Linked DNA regions of Caenorhabditis elegans. The protein of the gene in region 1 purifies or fractionates together with the protein of each later gene. This does not show direct contact. Each region holds a gene or a part of one and is shown in the gene's direction. Other genes may lie near its edges.

Region 1 (4,796 bases):
ATTTCAAATTTTATAGATTTAAAAAATTAATGTTTCTAAATTGTGTTCTGGAAAAAAAAACATTAGTTTTATAATATCACACTTGTACTATTTCTAAAACAATTTTCAATTCCAGAATCCAACTTCAATGCCTCTCACAATTATTCATTAATGTAACACTTCTCGGATGTGAATATTCTCAGACTTTAATGCAAAAGATTCGAACAATGGGTGCTGGAATTGCTGCTAACAAAGTAAGTGATCTTCATTATTTAAAAATATATTTCAAATTTAATATTCAGGATCGTACAAAAACTGGAAGTTACGTGAAGGCATCTGCAGCGAAAAAGCGACAAGCAGTGAAGACATCAGATTTAGAAGGAGCTTCTGATGAGTCTAAGTAAAAAAAACTTTTCAAAAATTGCAATTTTCAATCTTTTTGTTCCAGAAAAGTAAAAATGGAAAAGTCTCCATCGCCAGTAGCTCGTGAATCTTTTGATGAACGTCTTGGAAAACTCAAGGCATCTCTTGCAATGGTGAACATTTCAGATTTAACTTTTAATCTTTTAATCTTTTAATTTCAGACACCTCACCATCTAACGGGCGAACAAATGATGAAAACTGCCACGAATAGTTGTCTCATGAAGTGGCACGTGAACAAGATTAACCAGAAAATTGAAATAACTATCGATCGATATGTGGCCTTCAGACATACGTTTGTATAAAAATCTTCGAAACTATTTGAATTTCATGTTCTTTCAGATTCTCCCAATACTGTGTTGATCCAAGGGATTGTGCAATCAATACTCTAATTGAAAGCATTCTTTCGTGTGACGCCGCTGTTCACGAAGAAAGCTACGAAATTAGATTTGATGGAGTTCCGGTGGACGAGTGTTACGCTAAATCAGTCACCAGAAGACTTGCAAAAATTAAATCAGCAGTTTCTAATGGTGCACATACAGTTAAAGGCGAGCTTTTTTCATTTAAAAAAACAGTATCACTAAATTGAATGAAACATTTGGTCTCAAAAGTAAGGATTATAAAAGTTGGAACAATATCTCTTCAAAAATCATTTTAGAAGTGGGATTGTTGAATTTGATTGCAAGCTCGTTTTATCAATTTTCGGCTGTAAACCCATTTTTATTAGCGGCAACACGTTTAAAAATTTTAAAATATTGCTTCCGGTACTTATGGATGCCGTTCCCTGAAACAATTATTTTTAGAAAATATATTTGAAAATTGGAAGAAAAAAACTCGAAAGTTTGTTACAGTACTCAATCCGAACGGCAATTGGAAAACAAATAATTTTGCCTTCTTTTGAAAAAATGTATTTAGAAAACTTTTTCAGGTCTTACAACATATTTGGATGCAGTTAACATGTCAATGATTCAAAATACTCAAAAATTGGAAGGATGGTCTCAACAACTTGATCTCGTCACTGCCGATCTTCTTCTATCTTCTCGTGTTTTATCCAGCACTGAATGCACTAAACCAGCGATGGCAACGATCGCGAATCAAATGAGCGAAGACGTGTGTCAACTGATTCTCAACGATAAAATCAACGTCATTAACTCTATGAAATCTCACAGCTCTCTTGCATTCCAATAATCTCAATTAGCTTGATCTAGGGGAGCTTACTTTTTTTGCACTCGTGAATATAATTTCTATTGTTTTATTTATATTTGGCTTTGGTTTTTATACAACTACATCAAATTTCCTATGAATTTTACTGACTAATCGTTGCATTTTTACTCTAATTTTTTATAATGATGTTGAATCTCATCATTTTTACCTCTTTCGAAATGTTCACCCGAATCTGTATACCTATATGTGATTTCAGATGTCCTTGGCATTTAGAACCCTTTCGTTCGGTATTAAAAGATCACAACCGAAAAAGAAAGATGCCGATGATCTTAACAAAAAGAAAGAACTATCAACGATCACAGAAGAATCGCTTCGGAGATATGACGAACTTCGTGAAAAAATGATCGGAAAAGTCGAGTCAAAAATTGAGAAAAAAGTGAAGAAAAATAAAAAGAAAGGTTAATATTGTCTATTTAGTATAATACTTATAAACCATTTGTAATATTCAGCGTCGATTGAAATTCTTGCATCACGAAAGAGAGTACATGATTCTGACGGAGATTCTGAAAATGAAGTGGAGGAGACCGTTGGCGACGTGGAAAAGAGAATGCAGAAATTGGTGAGATTTCTACAGAAATTTAATTTTTATTTGAAAAAAAATCTTCAGCTCGACGACATTCGCCGTACCAATCGAATTTTCACTTGGGGTGATCATCTTCCTAATATTATTCTACGATTCTCCGATTCCAGCATGTCACCATCATTGCTCAATCGTCTATCTGAGAATTCAATCCGTCAACCATCACCAATTCAAATGCAATCAATTCCATTTATGACTGAGAGAAGAAATGTTCTTGCTAGTGCTCCCACAGGTAAAGACTTGAAAAGAGAAAAACTTCCAATTCCGGCTGTTCCAGGATCAGGAAAAACGTTGGCGTTTGCTCTTCCAGTCATCGATGAGATTCTCGAATTAAAGCAACGTGCTGATTATTCATCCTCTAACTCTTCGAAGCTGTTGGCAGTGGTACTCGAACCGACAAGAGAACTAGCAGCACAGGTTCTACAGAATTTATAGAATCGTAATCAAATTTAACGATTTTCAGACTTACACCGAATTTTTGAAATATTGCGCCAATACTTCGATCTCAGCTGCCAACTTCAGTGGAGAAGAAACTGATATTCAGCATGCAGATATCCTCGTGTCAACTCCAAATCGTATCGTTTTTCATTTGGATAAAATTGATACGTCTTCATTAAGGTTTGCATTTGAACCATTCCCTAAAAACTTTGTTCATTTTTTCAGATGGCTTGTCGTTGATGAATCCGATCGTTTGTTCGAGGTTGTTGAAGGCCAGGACAAGTGCTTCCGTAACCAACTCGCTGCAATTTACAAGGCTTGTGATGCCAAATGCACACGTGTCGCATTCTTCAGTGCCACATTTTCACATGAAGTTGAAAAATGGTACGTTTTCGAAGATTTGTCATATCAAAATTCCATATCTAAATTCCAGGTGTAAGGAGAATATCGATGAAATTGGTATGGTATGTGTTGGTGAACGAAACTCGTCTAATACAAGTGTGAAGCAAAAGTTAACCTATTGTGGAACTGAAGATGGAAAGAAAATCGCTATTCGAAATTTGTTGCGAACTTCCTTCAAACCACCAGCTCTAGTTTTTGTACAAAGCAAGGATCGTGCCGTGCAACTGGTGAAATTACTGTCTGCAATTGATTCAAATCTAAAAGTTGATTCAATCAACAGTGGAAAAAGTGATAAGGAAAGGGATGAAACGATGGAAAGGTTCCGTCGAGGAGAGATATGGGTTCTCGTTTGTACTGAATTACTTGGAAGAGGTCTTGACTTGTCTGATGTTGGATTGGTTATCAATTATGATTTGCCAACTTCAATTGTTAGCTACATTCATCGTGTTGGAAGAACTGGTCGTGCTGGAAAGAGTGGTCATGCTGTCACATACTTCACAGATGCTGATATGAAGTATATTAAATCAATTGCAACTGTTATCCGTCAATCTGGTTTTGATGTGCCGGAGTATTTAATGGAAATGAAAAAAGTCTCGAGGTTTGAGGGTAATCCTATTGTTCTGAGTACTCAATTTTTAATTCAGAGATCGTAAAAAGGATATGCTCAAACATGCTCCAAAGCGTCACAAAATCGCCATTGTAAAAGAGCAGGTGATCAAGAAGAAGAAAATGTTAGCAAAGGCAGCCGCTGAGGAAAAAGCGAAGAATAAAACTGAAACACAGACAGCGGAGAAACCAGAGAAGAAAATCAAGAAAAAGAAGTTGATCAAGAAGAACAATAAGAATATATAAATGTTTTGCGAATTTTGCGCTCAATTGTTTTGTTGTTTCAGTTGAAAATTGTTAGGATTTTTTTGTTTTTTTGTTGTTTTGCTGTTTTTCGTTGTTGAAATAATCGAGTCCAATTTAAAAGTTTTACCATTATCTCCATTTTATCCAGAACATAGTGTTTTTAAGTTGATTATAATGTATTTTTCATTGAAACTATATTTTAATTCACGCCGAAGCTGTTATGATGTTCTGGACGAAACCGATTTTTTTTTTGAAACGGAGAAGAGAAAGCGCGCCCCACCGTACAAACGAAAATATCGACGATTTCAGCAAATTTCACAAGCATTCAGTTTTGTTTGGTTCTTGTCCAATAAATTTCTCGATTTCTTTTTTTTCTTGTCCAAAAAAAAACGTTTTATTGAAAAACAAACTAATTCTTTTTCCTTGTACTCGGCTTCTGGTTTAGAGCAGAAAACTCATTTAGAAATATAAAATTTTAATTATTTCATTTCTTACTCGTTATGATGACAATAAAGGAGAATTGAGTCGAATTTTCCGCGGAAAAATTCTTTATGACGACTTTTCTTTTCAAGCTTCGTAAATAGCTTTGCGTTTTACTTTCGTTACAAGTTTCGTTTATTTTTCAGTTCGCGAGCAATGGGACGTGACAGAAGTCGCAGTCGCGATAGGAAGAGACGATCCAGATCAAGATCAGTGGAAAGAAGGCGAGAACGAAGTAGAAGTCGTGAACGTCGAGATGCTCGCAAAAATCGCGACGAAAAAGAAAAGAGAAGCAGTCGAAGCAGAAGTCCGCGCGATAAACGAGATCGGCGGGAAAGAAGTCGATCACGGGATCGAAAAGAACGTGATCGTGAACGACAAAAAAAGGATCGTGAGCCAAAGAAACGAGAGAAACAAGAGG
Region 2 (5,001 bases), on another chromosome or scaffold:
TCAGCGATTTTTGTCTAATTGCAGAGTTTTTCGACTCAAAAAGCTAGTTTTTAATGTTTTTGGTTGAAAATTGGCATATTTTTTCTTGTGGTTTATAATTTGAAAATATCGCCAGAAAATCGACTTTTTGATGGAAATTGGTGAAAATTGCACTCAAAAAATGAAAATTCGTCGATTTTTGATTGATAAATCTAATTTTTATATTAATTTTTTCGATTTTAAAGTGACAATCACGTTTTTAAAGCAAAAAATTCGAGATTTCTGGCAAAAAAAAGGGTTTTTCATGCTAAAATCGACGTAAAAATCGTTTAAAAGCGCATTTTTCCTTGAAAGTACGAAAAAAATCGGTGTTTTTTTTTTTGGGATTTTCCATTAAAAATTGAGTTTTTCTTGATTTTGCCCGTCAATTTATCAATTTTCCGCCAAAAATCACCAGATATTCGACTAGAATACCTCTCGTCTCACAAAACACGAGTTTTTAGTGGAAAATTGAAAAATATCGCCAGAAAATCGACTTTTCGATAATTTTATAGACATTTTCATGAAAAAACACTAAAATCTCGTGTTTTGTGATACGAGAGGTTTTCTAGTCGAATATCTGGAAAAAATTGGGGATTTTTGGCGGAAAATTGATAAATTGACCGGTAAAATCAAGAAAAACTCAATTTTTAATGGGAAATCCCAAAAAAAACCGATTTTTTTCGTACTTTCGAGGAAAAATGCGCTTTTAAACGATTTTTACGTCGATTTTAGCGATTTTCTGTTAATTTTCGAAATATTTTTGCCGAAAGTCATGAAAAACCCTTTTTTTGCCAGAAATCTCGAATTTTTTGCTTTAAAAACGTGATTGCCACTTCAAAATCGAAAAAATTAAGATAAAAATTAGATTTATCAATCAAAAATCGACGAATTTTCATTTTTTGAGTGCAATTTTCACCAATTTCCATCAAAAAGTCGATTTTCTGGCGGTATTTTCAAATTAAACCACAAAAAAAAATATGCCAATTTTCAACCAAAAACACTAAAAACTAGCTTTTTGAGTCGAAAAACTCTGAAATTAGACAAAAAAAAGAATATCGCCAAAATCGACGTAAAGATCGTTTAAAATCTCATTTTTCCTTGAAAGTACGAAAAAAATCGGTTTTTTTTTGGGATTTTCCATAAAAAATTGAATTTTTCACGATTTCAACCGAGACAATTTATCAATTTTCAAAATCCCCAATTTTTTCCAGATATTCGACTAGAAAACCACCCTCGTATCACAAAACACGAGTTTTTAGTGGAAAATTGGAAAATATCGCCAGAAAATCGATTTTTCGATAATTTTATAGACATTTTCATGAAAAATCGACGTAAAAATCGTTTAAAATCTCATTTTTCGCTCGAAAGTTTGCAGAAAATGCGATTTTTTTTTTGAGATTTTCCATAAAAAATTGAATTTTTCACGATTTCAACCGAGGCAATTTATCGATTTTCCGCCAAAAACCCCCCATTTTTTCAGATATTCCGATTTTGAAGAAAAAAAACACGTTTTCAAAGCAAAATCATCGAGATTTCTGGCATAAAAATGGGATTTTCATGACTTTCCGCAAAAATCCAACTCGAAAATTAACAGAAAATCGTCGTTTAAAAGCGCTTTTTTTTTTTGGGATTTTCCACATAAAAAATTGTGTTTTTCTTGATTTTGCCCGTCAATTTATCGATTTTCCGCCTCAAAAATCCCCCATTTTTTTCAGATATTCGACTAGAAAACCCCCTTCCTCGTATCTAGAATATCGCTAGAATTAACGGATTGATCAAAAAATCGCCAAAAACCCGCCGAAAATGGGTGTCCCCAAGTTCTACCGATGGACATCGGAGCGATATCCGTGTCTGAGTGAAGTGATCAACGAATCGCAAATTCCGGAATTCGACAATTTGTATTTGGATATGAATGGAATTATTCATAATTGCTCGCATCCGAATGACGATGACGTCACGTTTCGAATTACGGAAGACGAGATTTTCGTGAATATTTTCGCGTATATTGAGGTAAAGAGCCGCCGAAAAAATTTGCCCAAAAACGGAGAAATTTGCAAAAAAACCGGCGAAAATTAGTTCAAAAACGGGGAATTTCACAAAAAAAGAGCGAAAATTAGGCTAAAAACGGCGAAAATTGCCAAAAAATGGAGGAATTTGCAAACAAAACGAGGAATTTCACAAAAAAAAAAGAGCGAAATTTGCAAAAAAAAACGGCGAAAATTAGTTCAAAAACGGGGAATTTCACAAAAAAGAGCGAAATTTGCAAAAAAAAAACCGGCGAAAATTAGGCTAAAAACGGCGAAAATTAGCCCAAAACCGGCGAAAATTAGCTCAAAAACAAGGAATTTCACAAAAAAACAGCGAAAATTAGTTCAAAAACAGGGAATTTCACAAAAAACGGAGAAAATTAACCCTAAAAACGGAACATTTTGAAAAAAAAACATCAAATTTCTGTCAAAAACCCGCCAAAAATTGGATTTTTTGAGCTTATTTACGTCTGAAAATGGAAGAATCGGCCTTCTGGATCTCGGCCACGGCCATGTGTCGATTTACACGGCTCGTGTACTCCCCGAGGACAAGATTTTACAGTTTTTTACTAAAATCCCTGATTTCGGGCAGTTTTTGCCTATTTTTTTTTTTTGGATTTTATATTAAAATTTGCCGCCGAAAATCGATAGTTTTACTGTTGAAAAAGTAGAAATTTGGCGGTTTTCAGATCGATTTTCACCGAAAAAAGGCGATTTTAATGTTGAAAACGATGAAAAAAAATGTCCAAAAACTGCAAAATCACCAAAAAATCGAATTTTGGCGGTTTTTCAGCAGAAAATTGTCTGAAAAATCACGATTTAGTGCGCATTTTTCCCGTTTAAATTGAATTTTTTTTTCAAAAAATTCAAATTTTGCTGTAAAAAATGACAAAATTTGATATTTTTCTCTTTTCAGAATCTCTACAATCTAATTCGCCCGCAAAAGGTGTTCTTCATGGCCGTCGACGGTGTGGCTCCGCGAGCAAAAATGAATCAGCAACGGGCGAGACGATTCATGTATGTGGAAGAGCTGCTTTTAGCAGGAAAAAAGGAAATTTGGTGAAAAATTGGCGATTTTTGACCAAAAAATTGTGCTTTTACATTGGAAAACTACTCATTTTTTTCGTATTTTTCCATTAAAAAAACCAATTTTTTGTATTTTTCACTTTGAAAATTCAATTTTTCGGCTCAAAAACTGCAAAAATGTCCAAAATTTGTGATTTTTCACCTAAAAAAAAAATCCAATTTTTGTTATTTTTCACTGCAAAAAATTCAATTTTTCGGCGCAAAAATGTCAGAAATAACCAAAAATTGTGCTTTTTCATTTGAAAAAAATCCAATTTTTGTTCTTTTTTACTCAAAAAATTCAATTTTTTTCGGCTCAAAAACGTCAGAAAAGCTCAAAAAATCTAGCAAAAATTGCAATTTTTCCAGGTCAGCCCGAACAGCCCATACTCAACTCGCAAAAGCGCTGGAAAATGGCGAAATTATGCCATCTGAAGCTCGATTCGACTCGAATTGTATCACCCCGGGCACATATTTCATGACACGGCTTCATCAGAAGCTTGACGATTGGATTAAAACGAAATCGGCGACCGATTCGCGTTGGCAAGGCCGAAAAATTATTCTCAGCGGTCACAATGTGAGGAAAATGATGGCTCTCTTCAGATTGAGCTCCAGATTTGCTCAAAAATCAATTTTCTTTAAATTTTTCAGGAAAAAATTGATGAAAATTCCAATTTCTGATGAAATTTCTAGGAAAATTTGGATTTTACAGCAAAAAAAAAGTGGTACTTTTTACAATTTTGCTGTGAAAATTGCGATAAAATCCAACAAAATGGCTGAAAAATTTTTTTTGACCAAAAAAATCGAATTTGGAGCTCAGATTTGCTCAAAAGTCAATTTTTTTTCATATTTTTTAGGAAAAAATCGATGAAAAATTGCAATTTTTCAGGAAATTTTGGATTTTAGACCCAAAAATGAAGTGTTTTTTCAACAAAAAAAACCCGATTTTTTTTTATGTTTTAGAGCTAAAAATCAGCATTTTAGTCCAATTTTTTTTATAAAAACGTTAAAATTTGTATATTTTTGCTTTAAAAATTGCGGTGTTTTGGGCCTTTAGGTGAAATTTTGCGAACTTTTTTAGAGAAAAAACTGAATTTTTGCTTTAAAGCGTTTATTTATTCGAATTTTCGAAAAAAAATTTCACAGATTTCAAGCCAATTTTGGCTTAAAATCAAGAAAAAATCACGTTTCTTCGTCTATTTTAATGCTAAAAACCGGGTTTTTGAGTAAAAAAGTGTTAAATTTCAAATTTTTATTATTTAAAAAAGATTCGGAAAGCGAAAAATTGCAATTTTTCTTGAAATTTTTTAGAAAATTCGGATTTTAGGGCGAAAAAAATAGAAATTTGTACGTTTTTGATGTAAAATAGCTGAAATTTGCTCAAAAATCAATTTTTCTCATTTTTTGAAGGAAAAATTAATTCGCTTTTCACTAAATCTGACAGGGAGCCGGAAAATTCGGAAAATTTGGCTCAGAAACTGATTTTTTTGCCGAAAAAACCGCGAAATAAGCGGCTAAAAACGAGAAAAAAAAATGCCAAAACACTCAAATTTTCATCTATTTTGATGAATTTTGTAGCAAATTTCATGGAAAATGATCTAGAAATTCGGCAGAAAAAATGCATTAAAATTTGCATTTAAAAAAAATTTGTGAAAAGTAATTCGCAATTTTTCGCTGTCAGATTTAGTGAAAAGCGAATTAATTTTTCCTTCAAAAAATGAGAAAAATTGATTTTTGAGCAAATCTGGGCTCCAAAAATGATAATTTTCAGCTATTTTTCATCATGAAAAACGTACAAATTTCTACTTTTTTCCTCATAAAAAACCGGATTTTTCCAGAAATTTATTTTTGGAAAACTCTAGGTGGTCCAAAAAAATTTTTTTCAGCC

Evidence for each region.
Region 2: the proteins of ddx-52 (region 1) and xrn-1 fractionate together in Caenorhabditis elegans (co-fractionation; one large-scale study listed by BioGRID). This does not show direct contact.

Annotation. Positions count from the first base shown.
Region 1 is NC_003279.8:8,596,839-8,601,634, forward strand, and holds ddx-52 (putative ATP-dependent RNA helicase DDX52), read left to right. Parts: upstream 1-1,819; coding exon 1,820-2,021; intron 2,022-2,072; coding exon 2,073-2,182; intron 2,183-2,230; coding exon 2,231-2,435; intron 2,436-2,480; coding exon 2,481-2,620; intron 2,621-2,666; coding exon 2,667-2,821; intron 2,822-2,866; coding exon 2,867-3,025; intron 3,026-3,074; coding exon 3,075-3,641; intron 3,642-3,687; coding exon 3,688-3,895; 3' UTR 3,896-4,037; downstream 4,038-4,796. Other genes in the region: paxt-1 (Partner of xrn-2 protein 1), read left to right, coding at 116-233, 282-379, 428-515, 564-694, 742-947, 1,328-1,587; snrp-27 (U4/U6.U5 small nuclear ribonucleoprotein 27 kDa protein), read left to right, coding at 4,532-4,796.
Region 2 is NC_003280.10:14,067,173-14,072,173, forward strand, and holds the start of xrn-1 (5'-3' exoribonuclease 1), read left to right. Parts: upstream 1-1,734; 5' UTR 1,735-1,824; coding exon 1,825-2,031; intron 2,032-2,964; coding exon 2,965-3,065; intron 3,066-3,482; coding exon 3,483-3,690; intron 3,691-5,001.